Oryctolagus cuniculus: one gene and its partners. The protein of the gene in region 1 interacts with the protein of each later gene in a pairwise test. Links are inferred from orthologs where the notes say so. Each region holds a gene or a part of one and is shown on either strand. Other genes may lie near its edges. The genes, in order: ENKD1, CDR2, PNMA2, BEGAIN, CEP70 and PDLIM7.

Region 1 (3,954 bases):
CTCCGACTCCTCCCTCTGCAGCAGTAGCCCTGGTGACAGCTCAGCTTCAACCCTAGGATGGGCATGGAGACTAGAGCTGGGGAGGCTGGGGGACTGCAGCCAGGGACAAGGGGCCTGCCAAGCCAGCCCCCAGGCCCTAGGCCTAGGGAAGAGCCCTGCCTACCCACCACCCCAGGGCTGGTTACCTGTCCCTTTCCTGGTCAGTGAGGCCCCAGGCCCAACCGGGGCCCAGAGCTCATGTGAGCCAAGTCCTCATCTCCCGTGGTGCTCCCCACAGCAGGAAGCAGAAAGGGTTGAGGGCACTGGTAGTGGGAGGAGACAAGAATCTGCTCTACAGGAGAGCAGGACCTAGAACCCCACTAGGGTGTGAGCCCCACGCCTCAGCCCTGCGGCTCTCTCCCTGGAAGCCTCCTCACTTGACTGGCTTCCTCTTGGGCCCATGACCAGGCCTCATGGGGGAGGCCATAGGCCTGGGGCCTTTCTCCTCTGGTGCTTCCACCTGCGGCTTGAGCGCTCGTTCCTGGAGCTCTGGCTCTGAGGCATGTCCTCTTGGACACCTGTCTGCACCTGGGGTCCTGCAGGCCTCGTAGGCTGGCTCCAGGCACTGAGCTTCCATCACTGGGCACTAGAAGTGACACATAGGCAACTGGTCACCATGGTTAGGTAGAGTCTATAGCCATAAGTCAGCTGGTGCCCAGCATTAGCCACCAAACACGGGGTGGAGGGCACCAGCCCATGCCCAGCCCCAGCTTGGTCATCCGGAGTCCGGTCCCCCAGTGTGGCACGGCCAGGGTGTGAAGGCTTCACAGCCTTGGCCATCACCTCAGAGCGGCCACTGGGTGCCTTCACGAGCTGTGCCGGCCCCACGGCCACCCCTTCCTGGGCTCCTGGCGGCCTCTCCGCCCCTGCCGAGGCCATGGCTGCGCGGGGTCAACGCGTCCTCGCCGGTTACCTACGGAGAGAAGGGAGACGAGCCATGAGGGGCTGCACTGGTGGGCCCTGAGCTGACCACAGAGACTGGCTGGGAAGCGAGCTGCGAAGGGAAATTGGTGGTCGCCCCACCTGCCCTCGGCTGGAACTACAAGCCCCAGAAGGCCTTGCGCCAGGGTCACTGCCCCTGACCTCAGGGACGGAAGCCATTCGTTGCCTGGCAACAGCAACTCCCTTCGCGGTGCTGCAGCTGGCGGCAAAACTGCTAGAGTGAGCCGGGCTCGGGGGTTACCGGGAAGAGGCCGCGAACCCCGAAGGGACGTGGGTTAGCGGCGGGGCGGGAGACGAAGGGGGCCGGGAATGGGGGGCACTGCCATGGTCTGGGTCTAGGTGGAGGGAGGAGGCGCAGGGCTGGGGAAGGGAGTCCCGGGCGGGAGGTGCACAGCCTGGCAGGCCTCGGTGCACCGTTGCAGGGCGTCGAGGACAGCATGTGCGAGGGCCCGTCCCGCATCTCGGGGCCCATCCCCCCAGACCCCACGCTCTGCCCAGACTACTACCGGCGGCCGGCCTCAGGTGAGTCGGGGGTGCTGCGGAGGGGGCAAGGCCCGGGATCGCCTGCCGCTCCACCGCTGAGCTCCGCACTCGGCCCTGTCCCGCCCCTCAGCCCAGGGCCGCCTCGAAGGAAACGCGCTGAAGCCGGACGCCACCCCACCCCGCGGGCCCCGCATCAGGCCCGGAGGCCGAGAGATCTTGGAGCGTGGCTGGCGAGGCGTAGGGGGCGTGCTGCTGCAGCTCGAGGGCATCTCCCTCAGTCCGCGGGTCTCGCCCAAGAGTAAGTCCGGCAGAAGGGGCAGTGAGGCAGTTGGAAATCAAAAGCGGCTGTCCCTTCCCTGACCTGGGCCCAGGCTTTGCCTCTCTTGAGCGTCAGTTTCCCGCGGGAGGGAACCTCATTAATTCATGCATCAAAACGTGTTTCCTGTGTGGCAGGCCTTGTGGGTGCCAGGAAAGCAGGGTCGTAGGCAAGGTGGGAGGCAGTAAGTGAAGACATGAGGCGATCCAGGGTATTTACTGAAAAAATACAGAAAATAACGAGGGGAGATTTACATGCAGGCAGGGGAGCGAGGGGAGGTCTGGTGTGTAGACAGCGTCTGGCAGACACAGAAACCGGGAGATCTTTCTGGAGAGGGCGGGCAGGGAGCTGGTCAGGGCAGAGCCTGGGAGCACCTTTCCCCCAGGGAAGGACCCTAAAGACCATGAGAAGGAGAACCTGAGGCGGATCAAGGAGATCCAGAGACGCTTCCGGGAGCAGGGCCACGGCCGGGAGCAGGGCCAGCCCCAGCCGCTGAAGGCTCTGTGGCGCTCACCCAAGTATGACAAGGTGGAGTCTCGAGTCAAGGCCCAGCTGCAGGTACCCGCCCCAAGGAGCCGAACCCTGGCCTGCACTGTGGGGAGGGAGGCACCTGATGCTGTCATGGCGTGGGGCTGGGGTCACTTCTCAGAAGTGGTCATGGCTATGCTGGTCATGAATGGCAAGTAGGGATTGGGCAAGGGGAGAGTAGTATAGAATATTCCAGAAAGAGGGCGGGCGTGTGGCCTAGTGGTGCAAACGCTGGTTCGGAAGCCTGTATTCCACATCAGGGTGGGTGCTGGGTTCCGTCCCCAGCTGCGGCTCTTTGACCCCAGGGAGGCAGTGGTGAAGGCTGCTCCACCTGAGGGACGTGGGTCGCACTCCTGGTGCCCAGCCTCAGTCATTACAGGCACCTGGGGAGTGAACCAGGCAATGGGAGCTCCGTCTCTCTGCCTCAGGAAAGGAAAAGAAAAAAAAAGCAAAGTGTAATTAAAAGAAAAAAAAATAAAGAACATGCCACAGAGATGGAACCTCACAGGCGGGAGTCCGGAGACCAGCGGGAGCAGGCAGTGAAGGTGCCAGGTTCTCTGCTAGCAGTGTGGCTCCCACTGGGAGAGGGGAAAAGCATGAGGTTAGGCCAGGAAGTCAGCCGGAGCTACGTCATAAAGGACCCCCAAGCCGCTTCCCTTTTTTTCTCCCTCCTCCCCTCCCTTGCTCTCTTTCTCCACTTCTTCCTTCCTCCTCCTTTCCGAGAACCAGAGCGCTCCCATGTGCTGGGTCACTCTCCGAATGCCCACAGTGGCCAGGCCAGGAGCCATCACCACTGCCTCCCAGTGTCTGCATTAGCAGGAAGCTGGGGTCAGCAGCCAGAGCTGGGGATGGAACCTAGGCACTCTGATGTGGAACATGGGGTCTTAACTGTCTAAGCCACTTTCTGGAAAAATTGGATTTATTTGACAGAGAATGCTAGATCCTCCATCCATTGGTTCACTCCACAAATGCCTGCAACAGCTGAGGCTGGGCCAGGCTGAAGCCAGGAAACCAGAACTGAATCCCATATGGGTGGCAGGGACTCAAGTACTTGACCATCACCTGCTACACACACACACATACACAAACATACACACACACAACCCCACACACACCCCAGGATGTATATTAGCAGGAACCTGGAATGAAAAGTGGAGCCCAGACTGGAACCCAGGCACTCTGATAGGGGATGCAGGCATCCTAAGCAATGCCCTTTTTTAATGATTATGGTATTTTCAAAAATGACTGCTTATTTTCATTTACTTGAAAGGCAGATTGAGATATAGAGACAGAAACAAAGGGAGCTTCCATCCTGTGGCTGGGACTGGGCCAGGCAGAAGCCAGGAACCTGGAACTCCATCTGGGTTTCCCTAGTAGAAGGCAGGGTCCCAAGCCCTTGAGCCATCATCTGCTGGCTCTCAGGGTGCAACAGCAGGGAGCTGGACTGGAAGTGAGCAACCAGGACTTCAGCTGGCAGTCTGATATGGGATGCCGACATCTCAAGCGGCAGCTTAACCCACTACACCACCATGGCCACCCCACAGGCAGGGTCTTCACTGCTGTGCCAAATGCCCACCCCGAAGACACTTTTCAAACGCTTACTTTGAGGACAGTGGAAGGGTAGGGCAGGGGTATCATGGTAGGAT
Region 2 (3,500 bases), on another chromosome or scaffold:
AGAAGCGGGCTGAAGCAGCTCAGCCGGGAAGCCGCCGAGAAGCAGCCTCGGGGCGGGCGCCGGGAAGCCGCAGGGATAAGAGAAACAGAAGTTTTAGAAGTAAAATAAAAGAAAAAGGAATGTTGGTAGACAGACGTAAAATGGGAGAGATAGGAATGCCCGGAGATATAGAGAAAAATAAAGCCTCCCCTCAACATGGCAATGAGAGAGCTTGGATTCGGTCTGCCTGATTAGTAAGGCAGTAAGCACCAGCAGGCGGCTCGACCAGAGTATGAGCCGCAGGTCACCGAAGACAGGCACGTATCAGCGCCTAAAAACCTCCTCACAACATGGCGAAGAGAGGACCCGGATTCGGTTTGCCTGATTGATAGGACTTGTAAGAACCTGTGGCAACTCTAGCAAGTAGAGCAGAGTGTGTGCCGCGGGACACCGAAGACAGGCGCGTATCAACGCCAAAAAATAAAAAGAAAGGGGGATCTGTGGGGAGCAGCTCGGACTAGACTGTTACTGGAATTAAGACTTATTCTATGCACCTGCTCTCCCACAATATGGCGCTGGGAGAGAAGAAAACAGCTTCTACACAGCTGCCTCCAGTTCAACCAATAAACTGTAGGACTTGCTCCTGATTGGAGGAGAGCAGCGTACTCGGCGTGTGGGCAGCCGAGTTGGGATTGGCAGAGGAGGACTATAAAGGAGGAGAGAGACGGCATGCACCAGGAACATCTAAGGGGAACACCTAAGGGGAACACCTGTGCAGCCCCCGAGAGAGCCGGCCGGCGGTGTGCTGCTCCCCTGCGGAAGTGGGGAAAGCAGCCAGGGGGAACTGCCCTTCCACGGAGGTGGAAGGGACAGTAGCCAACCCGGGAAGAACCAGCAGCAAACCCGGGGAGGGCCGAGCAGACAAAAGAACAGCGCAGGGTCCTGTGTCGTTCCTCCACGAAGAGGGGGAGCGACAATGCTGAGGGATTTAAGCATTATAAAGGCTTAGCCTATTCTCGAATCCCATGAAGACAGATAGTTTAATTGGGGTTTATGGTTCTTTTTGTAAAATAAACTGTGGTTTAACAAGATATATATGTGGATATATATATATCTGTCCCTCGTTCTGCCTTAGATTTTGCAGCATGAGCCATCCACAGGACTAGAGGGTTAGAACCATCAGCCTCTGGGCAGGAGAGAAGGGCTAGATTTAGTTGCCACGTGGCCGATGATGCAGTCAACCATGCCTGAGATGAGGCCAAGGGAACCTCTGGGTAGGAGCATGCTGAGCCCCGAGGTGGCAGCCCTGTGCCTGCCCCCGCACCTGCATGAGTGGGTGTCAGAGAAGCAGGGAATGTTGAACACTGCAGGTATTGGCTGTGTGACACCTGGTTCTCAATCATCTTCCCTTACAGTATCTGACCAAGCAGGTGGAGCTTCTACGGCAAATGAATGAGCAGCACGCAAAGGTTTATGAGCAGTTAGATGTCACAGCAAGGGAGCTGGAAGAAACTAATCAAAAGCTGGTTGCTGACAGCAAGGCCTCACAGCAGAAGATCCTGAGGTAAATGCATTTTCTGGAATCTGTTGAGGGAGCTGTAAGGGGCATTTATTAGAAACAACTAGAAGGTAACAGTAGTGAGTGTCGGTCAGTGTGGGGTAAGGCTTCATGTAGTTCTTTTGGAGAGCAGAGACTAAATTCAAGGGAGTTCTCTCAGTTAAGAAAAGCCAGTTTGAGTGGCTAGCAGCTAATCTCTCCTCACTGCTTTCACCTTTAATTTAATATGACAAGGAGAAATTGGCTTCTGTGTATTCCTCACAGCCTGACGGAAACAATCGAGTGCCTACAAACCAACATCGATCACCTTCAGAGCCAAGTGGAGGAGCTGAAGTCGTCTGGCCAAGGGAGGAGGAGCCAGGGGAGAAGTGACCGGGAGAAGTCGGCGCCCAGCTTTGCCTGTCTGAAGGAGCTGTATGACCTCCGCCAGTAAGAGCTACAGGGAATGACTGAGTAACTGACACAGCTGGGCCTCTGGGTCATTAAAGTACCATTTTCGCAAGAGTCGTACTTAGACCACTAGTGGCTTGAACTTAAGCCTACAAATCCCAGAGTTCCTGGGTGTTAGTAAGTTAATTCTGTGGAATCTCATTTTTGAAAGTCTTGAGAGCATTTATTTCAGTATTTTTAACAAATGTTAAATCTTAAAGTAAGTTCTTCTGATAGACCACAGTTTTAGGGGTTGTGTCTCACATTAAAGTGAAGACAAAAAGAAATTGCAGTGAAACAAAATTCTAGACAAACAGAAGGTTTTTTCCTAAAGAAATCTCTTTATAATTCAGAGCTATGAGTTTGAATCCTTAAGCACTGTTTAGTTACCCCCTGTTCCTAGGTGGTGCTGTGCCAGACATGAAGAATGGTGACCAAAATAGATGTAGTTCCTGCCCTCTTGAGTTTTTCAGTCTAATAGAGGCAGATAAGTGATAATGACTAGACCTAAACAGAAGAGAGACCAACTGGGTCATTTGATGCTTCTCAACCTTGGCTGTACCCAGATCACTGGTGTAGTGTTTCAGAATGCAAACAGCAATGCATTCCCCGGGCCTAAATCCGATTTTCTAGGTGTGGGTCAGAAACTACCCCAGCGATTCTCCTGTTCATTCCTGGTTAGAAATCACTTCAGCAATGGTTCCCAACCTTAGCTGCATGTTAGCAATCACTTCAATAGTTGTTTTGTTGTTGTTGTTTGCTTATTTGATGATTTATTTATTTGAAAGAGTGACATGAGGTGGCAGATTTTCCACCCACTGGTTCACTCACTAGTGGCCGCGACAGTTGCAGCTAGGCTGAAGCCAGGAGCCCCGGTCCCCAACATGGGAGACAGGGACCCAAGTACTTTGGTCATCTTCCACTACCTTCCCAGAGGCATTAGCAGAACTGGATGGGGATTGAAGGAGCCAGGACTTGGATGGGTGCTCTAACACGGAATTGCTGTTCTTTAACACCTGCCCTACTTTAAAAACTCAACACCAGGTACCAGGCAAGTAGGTCAGAGTTGATGGGGTAGGACACAGGCATCGGTATTTTTTAAGGCTGCCCTGTGATTCTGATCTGCAGCCGAGACTGAGGACCACTGCGCCATTTCCTTCTGAGGTGGCTGCCTTGCTGTTGGTTCTTAGGAATAGATGCTCTGTGCTACTTTTAATGTTTAAAAAAAAAAAAAAAAGAGGGAGGGGAGTACTGGCACCGTGGTGTAGCTGGTAAAGCCACTGTCTTCAGTGTTGGCATCTCATGGGCACCAGTTTAAGTTCTGGCTGCTCCACTTCCCATCTAGCTCTCTGGTATGGCCTGGGAAAACAGTGGAAGATGGTCCAAGTCCTTGGCCCCTGCACCCATGTGGGAGACCTGGAAGGGGCTCCAGGTACCTGGCTTCAGATCAGCTCAGCTGCAGCCGTTGCGGCCATTTAGGAAGTGAACCAGCGGATGGAAGACCTCTCCCTCCCTCTCTCCCTCTCCCCTCTCC
Region 3 (4,144 bases), on another chromosome or scaffold:
TTTTTTTTTGTGCTATGAATAAGTTCTTTTTAATAGAAAACTTTTATTTAATAAATATAAATTTCAAAAGTACAACTTTTATATGATAGTGATTCTTCCCACCACACCCAGCTTCCCACCCGCAAACCATCCCATTTCCTTCTCCCTCTCCCACCCCATTCTTCATGAAGATTCATTTTTAATTTTTAATTATCTTTATATACCGAAGATCAACTCTATCCTAAGTAAAGATTTCAACAGTTTGCACCCACACAGACACACAAAGTGTAAAGTACTGTTTGAAGACTAGTTTTACTGTTAATTCGCATAGTACAACACATTAAAGATAGAGGTCCTACATGGGGAGTAAGTGCACAGTGACTCCTGTTGTTAACAATTGACACTCTTATTTATGACGTCAGTAGTCACCCAAGGCTCTTGTCATCAGGAGCTGCCAAGGCTATGGAAGCCTCTTAAGTTCGCCAACTCTGATCTTATTTAGACAAGGCCATAATCAAAGTGGAAGTTCTCTCCTCCCTTCAGGGAAAGGTACCTCCTTCTTTGACGGCCCATTCTTTCCGCTGGGATCTCACTCACAGAGATCTTTTACTTAGGTCATTTTTTGCCACAGTGTCTTGGCTTTCCATGCCTGAGATACTCTCATAGGCTTTTTAGCCAGATATGAACACCTTTAGGGCTGATAAGAGTAAGTTATTAACACAACACTTTCTTCCCAGCGTTGAACTTGGGGAGGCAAGAGTTCCTAATGCCCTCAGTCACGTGCGGCTTAGTGGTGAAGATTTGTTCAGAGAAAGGCACTGTGATCTGGACCTTGGGTGAACACCACTGAGTGACTGACACAAACCAGGATGGTCATGATGATACACTCTTGGGGAGACCACCACTGTTGCTTGTGGACTGCGATCATCAGCACTGGGGAGGGTGTGTCAGGGAGCTAAGATCATTTCCTCTTTGGCCTGAAAACTTCCATCAGCCGTCCAGATGCCACAGAAGTCACCTGCAGCTATACCAGCGGCAGACATACCGCGTCCATCTGGAAGGTGCCAGGGAAGTCTGCGCTGAGCAGCTCCGGGGGCTGGAGACTCCTGGCTCTTCCATGATGAACTTCTCCCTTCTACACCATGGGGCTGGCCTTCCTGCCCCTTGGAGGAAAGGCTTTGAACGCTCAGAAAGCAACACCTCTAAGACCCACGTAGCTGTCACCTTGGGACCACTCTCTCAAGTGCCATCCCTCCTTGCCCCTCAATTAGAAAGATGGCGAGGGCAATGCATTTAACGTGGAATAGGGCCCCAGATGGAAACCCCTGGATGTGGAAAAAATGTCCGACTCTTGAGTTTTTTCACATTTCAGGGAACCACACCCGCAGTTGGAGCCGGAAGACCCCCCCCCCACACTGTTATTACTGGGTCATTTCACTAGATTTGGGCAGCATGCCTCCAATCTCCCTGAATTTCAGTTTCCTAACCTGGAAAGCCCTGGTGATAAAACCCGTCCTCTCCCAGGACTGCGGTGAGTAGGAAATGATGTAACTCAGAGAGAAGCGCTTTATTCAAATGCAAAGCACATCTGGTGCGGGGATTCAAAATGCCTGCCTGGCTCCTCGGCCCCTCCCACTTGGCGGAGACGCCGTCCCCACAGACTGACTGGTTCTCCTCCAAACTTTATTCAGCCGACCGACCGGGCCTCGCCCTGTGGGGAAGCGTGGTTTAATTTCATCCTTCTGGGGGTGCGGGCTGAGTCTTCGGTCACCGGGCCCGTGGTCTGCTGCCTCTCTCAGCGCCGACCTCCCTCAGCACACTGCTAAAGGAGGGGCTGAAACGGGGGAAGGCCGTGGAGACGAGCATGGCAGGGCCAGCCTCATCCACACGAATCGCCATGCGCCCCGGAGAGCCGCGCCGCCGGCGCCGCGGTCCGCACCTGGTCTCCGCGGGGCGCCGCACAGATCGAGGCACCTCCTCCGCCCGCCGCTCTGGCGCACTGCGCCAACAGGGGCGAGGGGAGGGGGCACAGACACAGTGCCCGGATGCGGGAGCAGGCTGAAGGCTTAGGGAGTGGCCCTCACCCCGCTTCTCCCCCACCTTTTTTTTTTTTTTTTTTTGGCGGGGGAGATGGAAGATACCAAATCTTGGCGCAGAGGCGGCATGGCGGCCCTCAGGCAATACAGCGACTCTGCAACCTCTCTCTGCAGATTCCGCTGGGCTGGCACGTGCAGGCTGCAGTCTTGCCTACGCTCACACAAACCGTCCACCTGCGTCTCGCTACGCTACCCCGTCTTCCACTTTGCAACGCCCCTGCGCTTTACTCCCGGCCTTGTTGCGCCTCCGCACCCTCCACCACGTGCAACCTGCGAGAACCTTCTCGCGGGTCTCTGCTTCCTGCCGCCCCCCTCGGCGTCGGTGCACGGCAGTACTAGCGTCGGCGAGCCTGGGGGGTCCCCCGGTGCGGTCGGCGCCGCCTGCGCCACACCTTTCCCACTCCTACTGCCACCCTCTCCGCCACGCCTTCCCTGTGACAATCCCGGTGCCTAAATAAGCTGGTCGCCCCTTCCCCCTCCACCAGCTCCCACCCGGGTAAAACGGAGCGGGGCGGGGGGGAGAGTTCTGCGGCCTCGCCCCCGACCCACTCCGCAATGTGGCGGGGGAGCGGGGCGCCGGGGCTGCGCCCATGGGTCCTCTCCGCGCGTGCTCGGCCTGCTACTTACGGTGGCGCCGAGAGCGGCGAGCGCGCCCTGCGCTCCGCATCCATTAGCCGGGGGTCTGGCCGCTTCACTTCCGGAGCGCGGGGCTCCGCGAGGCGCCGCCCTCCCCCCCCCCCCCCGCCCGGGTCCCGCGCGCGCCCCGCCCCGCCCCACGTTGCCGGGAACCGGCCGCGTCTCGGCTCCGGCTGCCGCAGCGGCGGCCCTCCCAGACTCAACTTTGCCGCTAGCTTGCGCGGGGGGCGTGGGCAGGGAGGGGAGAGAGCGGGGTCAGGGGGCGGGGCCGGGAGGGTGGGTCGCCCGCTCGCCAGCCCGCCTTCCTTTCTGTGCACCTTGCGGTGGGCAGAGAGCGGCAGCGCGGTCTGTGCACGCGGAGAGGGAGCCTGAAGGACCAGCGCACGCACGCACGGACGGGACCCTCCCCAGCCCCGCGCCATGGCCGAGAGGAAGCAGTCCGGGAAGGCGGCAGAGGACGAAGAGGTCCCTGCCTTTTTTAAAAATCTGGGCTCGGGCAGCCCCAAGCCGCGGCAGAAATTCTGTGGCATGTTCTGCCCGGTGGAAGGGTCCTCGGAGAACAAGACCATCGACTTCGATTCGCTGTCGGTGGGCCGGGGCTCGGGGCAGGTGGTGGCCCAGCAGCGGGACGTCGCCCACTTGGGCCCGGACCCTCAGACGCCGTACTCGCGGCAGGGCCGGCGCGCCGGCGGGGAGCCATCTGTTGAATCCGGCAGGAAGGTGGAGATACGGCGGGCCTCGGGCAAGGAAGCCCTACAGAACATCTACGACCAGGTGGGTGTGTGCGGGGAGGTAAGTGGGTGCGGGCGCTCGGGCGCCAGCTCGCCCCTCGCCCCTGCAGCCTGGGCGCCTGCCTTCGTGCCCTGCCGCGACCGCGGCCTCTCCGCCTCCGCACGCGCACCCCACCCTGCCCGCCCCTTCTGCGCGCAGGGCGCGGCGGTGGGCGGCCGTGCGCCCACAAAGGCTGCTCGCGCTTCCCCGGGCTCGGGGGTTGGGAAGTGGATGGGCGTCAGGGACTGGCCGATCGGGGTCTGGGAGGAGAGGGGGTCGCCCTGGGAGAGGGGTGGGCCGCGGTTCCATTCTTCTTAAGTCCTCCCGGGCCGGCGGCTTCGGGTTGCAGTTGTGGCTGGGAGCCCCACCCTTTTTTTGATGCAGCTCGGAGCGTGCGGTGGAGGTTGGCGTGGAGGCCCGCGGGCTCCCGGGGGGTCGGGAGGGGCGAGGGCTCGGACCGCCGCTCGGCGCCGCACCTGCTCCGGCGCCCTCTCCGCCCAGGTCCCGAGCTCGGAGGTCAGGACCATGGCCAGCGCCTCCCTGGCCCGCCTGGCAGCATCACCACGCTTGGTTCCTGTTTGCCTGGAGAGAAGAGTGAGGAGGCCGTGGAATCCCCCGGTGGAAACCAAACCGCTGCTAAATAGTCCGTGAGGAGAACAAAG
Region 4 (4,010 bases), on another chromosome or scaffold:
TGTCTGCAGCCGCGGAAAGTCAGGGAGAGGCTCGGAGGACCGGCTGGCCAGGCCCCCGGCTCCTGTGACCACGGCTGCCGTGGCCAAGGGCCAGCCGCCTTGTGAGTGCGTGTTGGGGTGAAGCAGATGGATCTCACAGCACCCCTCCAGGCCCCAGGCTGGGCACTGCCGTGGCTCCGCTAGCTGGGGGACGAAGGGCCTAGCGGGGTGTCTGCGAGGGCAGTCCAACTGGGGCCCGCCAGCCTCCAAGCCTCTCCCCCCCAGTGATGGGGGAGGGGCTGAGGGCAGCTGCGGAGGAGGGCGTGTCCAGGTGCCGAGGGGGCGGGCGCTGTGGCCTTCCCAGAGCCTACATCTTCCCCTGTGCCCTTGCTCCGGGGCTGGAGTGGGGGCAGGGTGCCTGTGGGCCCACGGCCTGAAACTGTCATGCGGTTCACCCCATTCATTCATTCCTCCGGGGCTGCGTCCTGAGCCCTGAGGCGCTCCGGGCCCCTGCAGGGAGCAAGCAGGGACTGTAGACTTGGTGGCATGCCAGGGCTGCGGCGGGGGCCCCTGGGCTGATCCGGCACGGGCCCTCGGGGTGCAGAGCAAGGGCCGCGAGCGCAGGCGGGCTCAGCACCCTCGGGAGTGTTGCTGGGAGCCCCCTGGGGGCGGGGATCACGGAGCCTCCCCCGGGCCGGGACTCCCCAAGATGGTGCTGGCCGTGCCTGTGGGATGGCATCCGGGGTACCAGGGTGAACGCAGGCGTCCAGGTGAGACACGGGGGGACCCCGGGGCCAGCAAGGTGCTGGAAGGGAGGGAGGGAGGCGGTCAGGTCTGAGGGCGGCCTGGTGGTCGGGTGGGGCCGGGGTCTCCACGGCTCCCGCTCCTGGACTTCTGCATACCTGCAGTCCGGGGTGTCCAGGGGACCCAGCGAGGGGTCCAGCCGAGCCCAGAGAAGCAGGGCTCTCAGACACTCGTGGGCAGTGTCCTGGCAGGCGCAGGTGCACAGCCACGCTCAGCGGACCCCTCGTGGGCGGGCCTTGCTGGCCCTTCCCTGGGCTAATGCCCCCATCCCACCCCTGTCTAACCACACCCCGAGCTCTGTCCCAGTGTCGCCTGCTCCTCCCAGGGCCTGGCATATGACTGCTAGCCACAAGGGCCAGAAATAACCTTGGCCTAATCAGGGCAGGATGGAGGTAAAGACGTCCTAGGGCAGGTGGTTCGCGCTGCTGCGATGACTCAGCGGTCGTGAGGGATCTGGATTCCTTGTGTCTTTCTGCTCTTCTGTCCTTTATGCTCTTCTATGGCTTCTGTCACAAGTTTGCCTCATGGAGCAGCATGGCTGCCACAGCTCCAAAGTCACCTCCATGCGCCCGAGAAGAAGCAGAAAGATGGGGGATGGGAGTCAAAAGGGCACTGGGCAAGCTGCCTGATGCCTTAGCAGTCACATCCAACCACTGTTTACATCTCATTGGCCACCCCCTTGCTGCAAAGGAACCTGGGAATTGCAGTCTTGGGCACCCCCGAAGAAAACGAGGAGGTTTGGATCAGATGGGAGCGCAGTAGGCTGCCAGCGTCTCAGCTGCCTGCTCCCATCCTGCTGATTGACAGCTGCCTCTCCGTGCCCAGCACGGCAGCGAGCAGGTGAGGCCCACTGCAGAGCCCAGCGAGGCCGCTGCCTCCCCGGGGCCGAGCCGGGCGCGACCTTCTCAGCTCCAAGGCTGCGCAAGCCCCGAAGCTGAGCTCCCGTTGCGGCGGGATCGATGCCGGGGTGGGCGGCTGCCAGGCCCTCCCACGTGCCCCCGGGATCGATGTGACCGTCCCAGCCAGTGAGGGACAGGTGGCCCCACTCCCAGAGGACGCTCAGATCCCAGCACCACGGAGGGAGGAAGAGGAGTGGGCTCAGCGAGGGGCTCTTGGACACCCGTGACCTTGGCCTGACCAAGGAGGATGCCCTCAGGGGCCAGCTCCCAGGCCCGGGGCCCTGACCCCGCCGGCGGCGCCAGACGGGACGGCCTTGGCTCCCCCGTGAAGCCCAGGACGGAAGCCCCGCTCAAGGCAGCCCGCGGGGACCTTCACAGCCGCAAGCCGAGCCCCAGCCCCGGCCGGAACCCGGAGGACAAGGCGGCTCACCCTCGCTGGGCGGCACGGCCTGGCCGGGAGGGGCCCCGGGGGTCACCCGGCCTGCCCCCCGCCTCCGAGCCCCCCTGTGCAGGCGGCAGGGCTGCCGCGGGCCCCTTGGCACGCCTGGGCCGCCGGCGGGAGGCCAGGTTGCCCTTCTCCAGGTTCCTGGATGAGGTCACGGTGCGGGTGCTGGACCCCGGGACCCTGGAGGCCTTTAGGGGGCCAAGAGGCCGCAGCCAAGAGCCCTCCCCAGCGGACCAGGGCTCTGGCCTGGCGCAGGAGCCCCCGGTGGGGGCTGCCACTCCAGAGGAGACGCACCCAGCCCTGAGCGCCCGGCTCAGCTCAGAGGCGGCTGCTGAGGCTGCGAGGGGAGGGGAGCCGGGCGGGGCCCTGGAGACCAGGGGGCCCTGCGCCGCCGAGGGGAAGCGCGGAGGCCACGCTACCTGCCCCTGGAGGCAGCTGGGCCAGGTGAGTCTCGGCCGGCTGGGCGCCCTCCTCACCCCGCACGTTCACACCCCGCCATGGCATCTGTGCTGGCTCTGGGCTGGGCGGAGTGCACCTGGGTGAACGCTAAGGCTCCTCTCAGCCCCGCCCACTGGCAGAGCCCCCCCCCCCCCCCCCCCCGCTTGCGCATGATGAGCCTGGAAGCACTGGCGCCCCAGGCAGCGGCACAGGAGGCGGGTGGCGCACTAGGGTCCTTCCCGGCTGTCTCCACTTTACGTAGGGGAAGCTGAGTCTCGGGTCAGGGCTGGAGCTTAAGCCTGCTGGGCGTGCACACGCGCACACAGTGCTCGGGCTGATGGGCGGGCGGCTGGCGTGGGGTCTGGAGAGCAGGGATACATGGGCGCAGCTGCGCTGAGCATCAGGGCCCAGGAACCTGCCCAGGATACCCCCGGACCCCTTCAGTGCTGACCCTCTGTGACCCCTGGGGCCAGGGAGGGTCCTCCCAGGCTACCGAGGACGGCGCCCCTACCCTCCTGCCCCCCCGCTTGTGGCCAGGGCCCGGATGGAGGCCGCAGGGCTGGAGGCAGGGGTCCGCCCAGCGCCTCCCAGCGCGGCTCCCTTGTGCAGGGTCTGCTCTGCCAACCAGTCCTGGCGGGGGGCTGAGGCCCGCTGGGCGCTCCGGGAGCTGCTCTAAGCTCCTGCCCCCAGCCTTGCCGCAGCCCCGAGGCACACGCTGTCCCCAGGGCACAGGGGAGCGGATTGAGCGGTCGAGTCGAGGAACCAGGACTGGGCACAGCCAGTCTTAAGCCACCCCCTCAGCGTCCGCCGCCCCCATGACTGCTCTGTCCGGGGAGGGGTCTTACTGGAGGGGGTCTGGCCACTCCCCGCTGCGTGGCCAGCTGGGCTGGGGGTCCGGGCGCGTTGTCTCTCTCTGGGGGGCAGTGGCTGCTATGTGGCTCTGCACGGACTTCAGTTCCCGCAGTGGTGAGAAGGCAGGGGCGAGCGCGCCGTTACTGTGCCACGCCCCCAGCCCTGCACAGGGGCTGCCAGTATGTGAGCCCACCTGCACACCGCGAAGCCCTTCTCTGGGGACCACGAGGCCCCGGGGAGTCCCAGTGACGCCCAGGCCCCCCTGGGGGGGGGTCTCTGCAAGGCTGCTTGCGCAGCCAGGCAGCACGGGGCCTGCTGGTGCCCGGCCACGCTGTCGAGGGGTGGGACTGCACCCTGCGACCTGCCACAGGCGTCCCTCCCAGGGAGCTGGGCCCCCTGAGGCTCCGGGAGTGACTGCCTGGTGCCCCTCCCCGGCCCGCCCCGCCCCCAGGGTGCACAGGCCCCGGGCTGGAGCCAGCCTAGGACAGCGAGGATGGATGTTCCGTCAGACCGGGAACTGAGGCTAGCAGGGTCCTGGCTGGGCCGTGGCTGGCTCGGGGCCCTGGGCGGGTCACACCCCCCAGTGTCTCCAC
Region 5 (4,094 bases), on another chromosome or scaffold:
CGAGGCAGGACAGGGGTTAGGAGAGTCCAGGACAGCTAATCATCTAAGCAGTTACTTGGCCTGAGTTTAAAATATGTACCTGATAGGATTATCAGGAGTCAAAAGGAAGTATACCCAATGTGTTTAGTATAGTATTTAGTACACATCAGGTCCATGTTTCCCACGGCCTCCTAACATCTAGAATCACCGGTTGCGGCAGACATACCTCAGCCATAGCTCTTTCCTCCTGCACGTCACACCTGCTCATCCAAGATGATCTTAATGAAACGATCGGCCAGTGAGTCTCATGTGCGAAACTAGATCTTCATCTAGGGTTCAAAAAGATTAACGGATCAACCTCTTGGAAAGTTCAACCTCTTAGTGAGAAAGGTCTTGTGTTACTCCCAGCGCAGCGTCCATGGTGCCGGAAAGCCCTAAGCTGAAACTCCAACAGCCACAGTAAGCGCTGATGGCCTTCCTGGCTCACCATCATAAGCCTCCTCCCTCCTCTTCTCCCTTGTGGGTGATCCTGTGCCTGGCTGGAAGACTGCCTGCCTACCCCAAGCAGGAGGTTAGGAGGGCATGGCACACCATGCCTCCCGGGCACATTTCCCTGACCCCTGCTCCCAGGTGAAGGACCTTGTAAAGGGTCAAATAGGTAAACAACTCCTGGGTGTGCCCCAGACCCATAAGGACCACCTGGTAGGCTACTAGGCTATGTGACCTTCAAGCTGATTGGAGAAGCATAGTGGCGCCAATATCAGATCTATCCTATAGTGTTGCCCTGAATTAGCTACGCCCCCTCTGCCTGCCCTTTAAAAGCTTATGCTTCATCGTTAATAGACATGTTCACAGAAACTGGTCTTGAGTGCGTCTTGTCAAGAGCACCGTCACCAGTGCGGGCCTTGCAGGATCAGCCTACACCAGTCTGTGAAATAAACGTGGTGATAGTTTGCAGCAGCCTTTTCCCCACTGCAGGCTGTTAGAGGAGAAAAGTCCAGAACGCTGAAAGTCACAGAAGAGACTAAACTCTCCCTGGGGCAGAAGCGAGGCTGTAGCTCTACTCAGTGTCACAACACAACTAAAGGCAGGCTGTAGGAGTAAGGTTTGGGGGCTGAGAGTTGGTTTGCACTTGGCATACAGACAAGCAGGGGACAGGCATTTGGCTCAGCAGTTACCATACCTGCATCCCACAGCAGAGTGCCCAGGTTCACGTGCTGGCTTTCCTACCTATGCCAGCTTCTTGCTAGCACACACACACTGGGAGGCAGCAGGTTCTAGCTCAAGTATCAGGTCCCTGGTACGCAAGCAGAACACCTGAACTGAGTACCTGACTCCCAGCCCCAAGTGTTGCGAATATTTGGGAGTGAACCGGCTGATGAAAACTGTTTCTCTGCCTTTCAAATAAATAAAGTGAAAATAAATTAAAAAAAAACCATTAAAAAAATAGCCAAACACAGAAAAGCAAAAACACAGTTGTATCTTCCAGCACTGTCCAGGTTTCCCAACAATCTTTTGGGTCAAATGGTCCCTTATAATATAGCCTAACATGCATCAAACCTTAAAAAACTTATTTTTCTCGCCATTTGGGGGGCGGGGGGAAGAGAGCTGGAAATAACAGATCATGGCCAGTAATTTCTTTCTCAAGTGAGTCATACCGAAAATCTATAAACTTTCTCCGAAGGACGTATTCCAAATCACTCCAACAAATGAACACGCACGGCTTTCCAAGTCTGTGTTCTCCATGAAATGCAAACTAGTCCGAAGATAGGCCAACGTTCCAAAGGACGAACTGAATCCACCACCATTGGGCCCGGACGTCACCTCAACCAAACCATCCTGTGCCGGCGAGGTTACAAGGAGGGCCAGAACACCCTCCTCCCCCGCTCTGAAGCAACCCCGTCAGTGAAACTCCAAATCAGCCGCCTCGTACCCAAAAAGCGGAGCGGAGGCGGCCTGCTCTGCTTGGCAATACTCAAAGTAAAAACAAAAACAAATGCACGCAGAGGGCTGAGACCAACACGGGCAGTGGCTGCACGGCGTCAAACATTATGATGAGAAACCCTTGCTGACTGGTCTGTTACAAGCGTTACTGTTACAAGTGCCTCAGCTCGGGGGATTTTTCACCCTTTAAGAATCACATGAGGCTCCACGTGAAGTCAGAATCCCCTGCGCACCCCGGATCCAGAATGCGCCCGACAACCGGAGAAGGCGGGCTACGCGCCTCCGTGTGTCCCCGGCACCCTCCGCCGACACCTGCCCCACTCCGGGACGCCGAGGGCCGCGGCGGTCAGCGCCCGTCCGCCCTTCGCCGACTCGGCCAGGGTCTAGTCTGATCTAGCCGGGTCCGAGTCTGAGCTCCGCACTGCCTGCCTCGTCTAGCCCCCACAGCCGCCCTGGAAGGCAGCAGACTGCACACAGGAGCAAACGGAGACGCCGAAGACCACAAAGGCTGGGGGGCCGGGGCTCGAAGCAGGTTTAACCAATCCCCAAACCCTCACACAGCCTGCTGGAGCCGGTCCCAGCCCGCTCCACCCGGGGCGCCCGGCAACGCTCGGCGCCCACAGGCCGAGTCCCGAGCGCCACTCACCTTCCTCGGCCGCCCGGCCCGGCCCGGCCCGGCCCTGCCTGGCTCCGCTCCACCGCCTCCGGCCCCGCCTCCGCGACCGTTACCGACGCCAGTGGAGGTTGGCCAATCGAGCCCGAGCGGGTCGAGGTCAAACCTCTGCTCTGCCTCGGAACTTTCTGAGCGATTATCTCCGGCCTCTCGAGGAGGCTGGGTCCGCCGCGCGCCCCCTGGTTGGCTCCGGCTGCTGGGGGCGGGGCTTACCACCACCGCGGGCTGTCATAGGCCCGCTGACGTTTCAGTCGCGCTCTACGGCCTCTCGCTGGCTGGGGCTCTCGCTTACGGAGGGCCTCGGTTCCCCAGGAGATTTCAGATATGCAAATATGTGGCCGCAGGTGAAAATGAGGCTCGGAGCACCTGGCCACTGCGCAGGACCCTCGCCAGGACCGCGAGCTCCTGCTGGGGGAGCAGCCGGCGTGTCGAAGCTCCGGACCTGGGGGAGCCTCGGAGCGGCTGGCGTTTCACCCTCCCTTTGGGCGTTTTCCCGGTGGCCACGAAGTGTCTGGCCCTACATCGGGCTCCGTAAAATGCAGAGATGTGGACGCTGAGGGACAACGGTGGTTTTCCAGGGCCCTGTAGAGACTGGGTCTTGGGCTGCGTAGCATCTGGCAATCAGGGCTCACACTTGGTTTTCCAGTCAGTGTGGCCGTGGGATCCCAGGTGTCTCGTGGCTTTGTGGCGGGATTTTTGTGTGATTTCGCCCCCCCCTCTTTTTTTAATGGAAGCTATTCCTGCGCTGCAGTAAACTTTCTGAAGCCTCAGGCTTGTGTTTGAACCATCAGAAAGGTCTCCAGCTAGAAACACTAGTTCCGGCTTGCCCCTTCTCCCTGTCATTCTCCTTGGAATCCCAGGGCCAAAATTTGGAGATGTCTTGAGTTCTTCTGTTCATGGTGTTTATTCACGGTGACCAATCGACTTCCTTGCCAGACTTTTTTTTTTTTTTTTTTTTTTTTTTTACAGGCAGAGTGGACAGTGAGACAGAGAGAAAGGTCTTCCTTTGCCGTTGGTTCACCCTCCAATGGCCGCCGTGGCCGGCGCACCGCGCTGATCCAATGGCAGGAGCCAGGTACTTATCCTGGTCTCCCATGGGGTGCAGGGCCCAAGCACTTGGGCCATCCTCCACTGCACTCCCTGGCCACAGCAGAGAGCTGGCCTGGAAGAGGGGCAACCGGGACAGAATCCGGCGCCCCGACCTGGACTAGAACCCGCTGTGCTGGCGCTGCAAGGCGGAGGATTAGCCTAGTGAGCCGTGGCGTCGGCCCCCTTGCCAGACTTTTAAAAAAGAAAATCACCTGGGGAGCTTGGGAAACTCCGGATGCAGGGGCCGCCAGACAATCACACCAGGATCTCCAGGTGGGGACCCAGGCATCCAGAGTTTGTAAAGCTCCCCAGGTGATTCCGATGTGCAAGTGTTGTACCGATTCCCACCAGTGAAGACCACCAGGAGCCGACACTCATGCAAACGCAAGAGTTTAATTTCAAACTCAAG
Region 6 (3,500 bases), on another chromosome or scaffold:
TCCAGCTTTGCCTACCCCGCCCATCCCTCTCCTGCCGCTGGCCTGGCCCCGGCAGCCTGCCCAGCACAGGTCCGGCTCCGTCTGGCACTGCCTTCCCTCTTTGCCCTGCAGCCCTGCTGTCTGTCAGGTCTGCACTGCCCTGGGTGTGGAAATAAACGCTCTCAGCCCTGCTTCCTCTGCCTCTGACCTCCATCTTTGTGGGGCTGGTGGGCACGGGGGCAGGGGGGTGGGGGGCGGTTCAGAGCTGGCTCTTGGGGCTGAAGGGAAGTGGGAGCCCTGCTCTGCCTCCCCGCCCTGGACCACAGACCAGCTGGCTGGAACCTGGCTGGGAGACGCTGCCCCTCCCAGCCCTGCCCCAGAGGGACCTGGATCCAGCCCAGTAGCTCTCACGCACCCAGGCATCTCCTGTGGAGCCAGCAGGACCCAGGGTGGGGGTGGGGCCGTGACAGGAGCTTTGGCTAGGCGGGGCTTTGAATGGCAGATCTTACAGCCAGGTGCCCAGGACAGAAATCCCTGCCCCAGCCTCAACTACACCCCAGGAACCCTGGCCTGGTGAGAGAGAATGGGCTTGGGCCTGGGGAAGGGTGGGTAGCCCCTGGGGTTGTGGGGGTGGTGGGCTCTTCTCACCTGCCCCAGGCTTCACCCCCTGTCCTAAGGGGTCCCCGGGCACCTCTGTGGAGCCACTTTCCTTGGCCTTGGCAGGCCCTACCACCCCCAGCGCTACCAGCCGCCCACCCTGGGCCGTGGACCCTGCATTTGCTGAGCGCTACGCCCCGGACAAAACAAGCACGGTGCTGACCCGGCACAGCCAACCGGCCACGCCCACGCCTCTGCAGAACCGCACCTCCATCGTGCAGGCTGCTGCTGGAGGGGGCACCGGAGGGGGCGGTGGCAGCAATGGCAAGACTCCTGTGTGCCACCAGTGCCACAAGGTCATCCGGTGGGTGACCCTGTTCCTCTCCTGCCTTGACCTTTCCTGTCCCAAAGCCTGATCCTGGCCCAGCTGCCCACTCTTCTGGCTTCAGCAGCCACGGGAGCAAGATAAGATTCTAGTTCCCAGGGGGAGTGGGGGAGGGACCTGTCCTGGCTCCTCAGGTTCTCAGTCCCGCAGTCCATATCCCACACACACACCTCACTGGCATCAGCCACTAGCCAGCCGCATCTGGGGACGTGACCGCAGGTGCCAGTGTGGTCCCAAAGCTCACTGCTGTCCTGGCAGAGAAGGGCCAGCGAGGCAGCCACCTGTCTCTCCTTCCTGCTCGTTCAGTGGCGGCTCACCTCTGCCCTCAGAGCGCATGGCCAGTCAGTGTACCAGATTCTAGAACCTTCCTTCTTCTCAGCCCTGGCCTGCTCTTGACTCCCATCAGCTTGTAGGCAGAGACTCCGCAAAGCGCTTTGCCTTTCAAACACATGTTTAGTTGGGACCAGCAGGCCAAGGTGGGCAGGCAGGCCGGACAGGGTGGGCACGGGGGTGTCTGCCCATGTTATTGCTTGGCCCTCCGGGCTTTCCGCTCCCAGGGCACCAGCTCCTCAGGGTGGTCTCCTTAGGCTCAGGTCATCAGCCGCACCCAGGTCTCTTCTGTCATCAGTCAGCACAGGGCAACCACAGAGCTGGTCCCTTCACGCTTCGTCCCGCCTTGCCGTGGGACCTGGGGCAGGCCACTTCCGGTGCTTGTCTTTGCTGTCCTAGTTGGGAAATGGGGAAAATGAGGTTTGCTACCTGGTGCTTCCAGTGGGTGACCAGTAAGCCCGTGGGGCGCGTTCTCGTCCCACACTGCCTCTCACTGCCCTGCCCTCCCCCTCAGGGGCCGCTACCTGGTGGCGCTGGGCCATGCGTACCACCCCGAGGAGTTTGTGTGCAGCCAGTGTGGGAAGGTCCTGGAAGAGGGCGGCTTCTTTGAGGAAAAGGGTGCTATCTTCTGCCCGCCGTGCTACGACGTGCGCTATGCTCCCAGCTGTGCCAAGTGCAAGAAGAAGATTACAGGCGTGAGTGGGGCTGGTGGGCGGGCAGGGGTGGGCTAGGAAGGAAAGCACACCTGTTGGTGTGGAAAAAATGGTGAGCAGCCTGAGCCTCTGTGAGCCCTTTGGCTTCTTAACGGCCTAAGAAGTGGCCGCCCTTGACATTAGCTAGAATCTTCTTAACAAATGACCAAAATCCTCCTGGCTCAGACAAATCCCTGCAAAGCCCAGGGCGCCAGCTTCAGACCTGGCTGAATCTGGACACCAGTGTCAGAGGACTCTGTCTCTTGTTTTCATCTGCGTTCACTTCCTCTCCTGGAAGGCAGCAAAGATGGTGCCACAGTGTCCCCATGGGTGACACCGCCCCAGCTTAATTAGCACCACAGACTGAAAGACAGCACCTGAACCAAGCCCTGGGACTCTGATTGGCCAGGCCTGCGTTATGCCCATCCCTGGAGCTGAGGGTGAACCCCAGATAGAGAATGAGGGAGGAGTGGGTCCCTAAAATCAAGCCAGGAGAACATGACCTAAGAAGGAAGAGCCGGACAGGCCGGAAGCTGCTGCGGGGAGCAGTTGGGTTGCATTTGGCTGCGGTGACAGAAGGCTCCACTGCCGAGACTTGGACAGGGTTATTAGCTCAGGGAGGAGAATCCCAGGGAGGCCTCTAGGAACCTGTTTTCCCCACCTTTTTGTCTGAAATCCTTAGCATGTAGAGAACTTTGTTCAAGTCAATCATTCTAGCAGCTCAAGGTCGAGACCGACATTCTCATCCCAGGCAGGAAGTGGGGAGAGCAACTGGTGTTCCTTTAATGAGGTACTGCCTTTGGAAGAAAAACTGGAGTCTGGAGCTGTTACCCTAGGACTGCCCTGGGCCAGAGGGCCAAGGGATCGGGGTGAGCCTCCACCCTCAGGAAGGGAGGAAGGCAGCAGGGAAGGGGTTTGTGAAAAGTTTCTTTTATCATTATCTTTTTTTTTTAAGATCATCTATTAGAGAGAGAATCTTTCATCCACTGATGTAACTCCTCAAAGGGCAACAAGAGCCAGGGCTGTGCCAGGCAGGAGCCAGGAGCTCCATCCTGGTCTCCCACATGGGTGGCAGGGGCCCAAGCACTTGAGCCATCATCCAACATCTTCCCAAGTGCATTAGCAGGGAGCTGGAATGGAAGAAGGGGCAGCCAGGACTCAAACTGGCACTCAACATGGTGTACCAGCATCGCAGGTGGTGGCTTAGCCCACTGTGCCGTAACGAGGGCCCCTGTGAAAGGTGTTGGAGGCTGATCCACAACACCTGCTCCTCTAGTGCACGACTGGGAGATAACTAAGGGGCTTTATCTGCACAGGACTGGTGAGTAGCAAAGCCAGCAACGCAGGGCTCAAACACCGGTGATCCAAGATCTTTTTCCTCCTGTGGAGGCTGACAGAGCTCAGCCTGTCCCAGCTTCAGACTTGGACTTGAACTTGGACTTGGACATCAAGAGCTGACCTGGCTGGGCCCCTTGCTCGGGTCACATGGACAAGACAGAGTGCACACGAAGGGAGGG

Evidence for each region.
Region 2: the proteins of ENKD1 (region 1) and CDR2 interact in binary tests that used the Homo sapiens proteins (3 or more experiments, as listed by UniProt). The two-hybrid records come from large-scale screens. The link is inferred for Oryctolagus cuniculus from reciprocal best matches to the Homo sapiens genes ENKD1 and CDR2.
Region 3: the proteins of ENKD1 (region 1) and PNMA2 interact in binary tests that used the Homo sapiens proteins (3 or more experiments, as listed by UniProt). The two-hybrid records come from large-scale screens. The link is inferred for Oryctolagus cuniculus from reciprocal best matches to the Homo sapiens genes ENKD1 and PNMA2.
Region 4: the proteins of ENKD1 (region 1) and BEGAIN interact in binary tests that used the Homo sapiens proteins (3 or more experiments, as listed by UniProt). The two-hybrid records come from large-scale screens. The link is inferred for Oryctolagus cuniculus from reciprocal best matches to the Homo sapiens genes ENKD1 and BEGAIN.
Region 5: the proteins of ENKD1 (region 1) and CEP70 interact in binary tests that used the Homo sapiens proteins (3 or more experiments, as listed by UniProt). The link is inferred for Oryctolagus cuniculus from reciprocal best matches to the Homo sapiens genes ENKD1 and CEP70.
Region 6: the proteins of ENKD1 (region 1) and PDLIM7 interact in binary tests that used the Homo sapiens proteins (3 or more experiments, as listed by UniProt). The two-hybrid records come from large-scale screens. The link is inferred for Oryctolagus cuniculus from reciprocal best matches to the Homo sapiens genes ENKD1 and PDLIM7.

Annotation. Positions count from the first base shown.
Region 1 is NC_091449.1:50,907,477-50,911,430, reverse strand, and holds the start of ENKD1 (enkurin domain-containing protein 1), read left to right. Parts: upstream 1-1,154; 5' UTR 1,155-1,255; intron 1,256-1,403; 5' UTR 1,404-1,418; coding exon 1,419-1,503; intron 1,504-1,594; coding exon 1,595-1,762; intron 1,763-2,165; coding exon 2,166-2,338; intron 2,339-3,954. Other genes in the region: C18H16orf86 (uncharacterized protein C16orf86 homolog), read right to left, coding at 1-52, 417-625, 823-918. UniProt on the Homo sapiens protein: Microtubule-binding protein which regulates microtubule organization and stability. Promotes the stability of astral microtubules and facilitates the proper orientation of the mitotic spindle.
Region 2 is NC_091450.1:16,908,403-16,911,902, forward strand, and holds part of CDR2 (cerebellar degeneration-related protein 2), read left to right. Parts: intron 1-1,394; coding exon 1,395-1,543; intron 1,544-1,801; coding exon 1,802-1,966; intron 1,967-3,500.
Region 3 is NC_091433.1:47,729,160-47,733,303, reverse strand, and holds the start of PNMA2 (paraneoplastic antigen Ma2), read right to left. Parts: upstream 2,801-4,144; 5' UTR 2,703-2,800; intron 1-2,702. Other genes in the region: DPYSL2 (dihydropyrimidinase-related protein 2), read left to right, coding at 3,132-3,485.
Region 4 is NC_091451.1:44,202,508-44,206,517, reverse strand, and holds the start of BEGAIN (brain-enriched guanylate kinase-associated protein), read left to right. Parts: upstream 1-1,210; 5' UTR 1,211-1,929; coding exon 1,930-2,571; intron 2,572-4,010. UniProt on the Homo sapiens protein: May sustain the structure of the postsynaptic density (PSD).
Region 5 is NC_091435.1:143,186,611-143,190,704, reverse strand, and holds the start of CEP70 (centrosomal protein of 70 kDa), read right to left. Parts: upstream 2,801-4,094; 5' UTR 2,570-2,800; exon of another isoform or gene 1,638-2,569; intron 309-1,637; 5' UTR 248-308; coding exon 206-247; intron 1-205.
Region 6 is NC_091437.1:63,482,581-63,486,080, reverse strand, and holds part of PDLIM7 (PDZ and LIM domain protein 7), read left to right. Parts: exon of another isoform or gene 1-173; intron 174-490; coding exon 491-552; intron 553-702; coding exon 703-940; intron 941-1,805; coding exon 1,806-1,986; intron 1,987-3,500. UniProt on the Homo sapiens protein: May function as a scaffold on which the coordinated assembly of proteins can occur. May play a role as an adapter that, via its PDZ domain, localizes LIM-binding proteins to actin filaments of both skeletal muscle and nonmuscle tissues.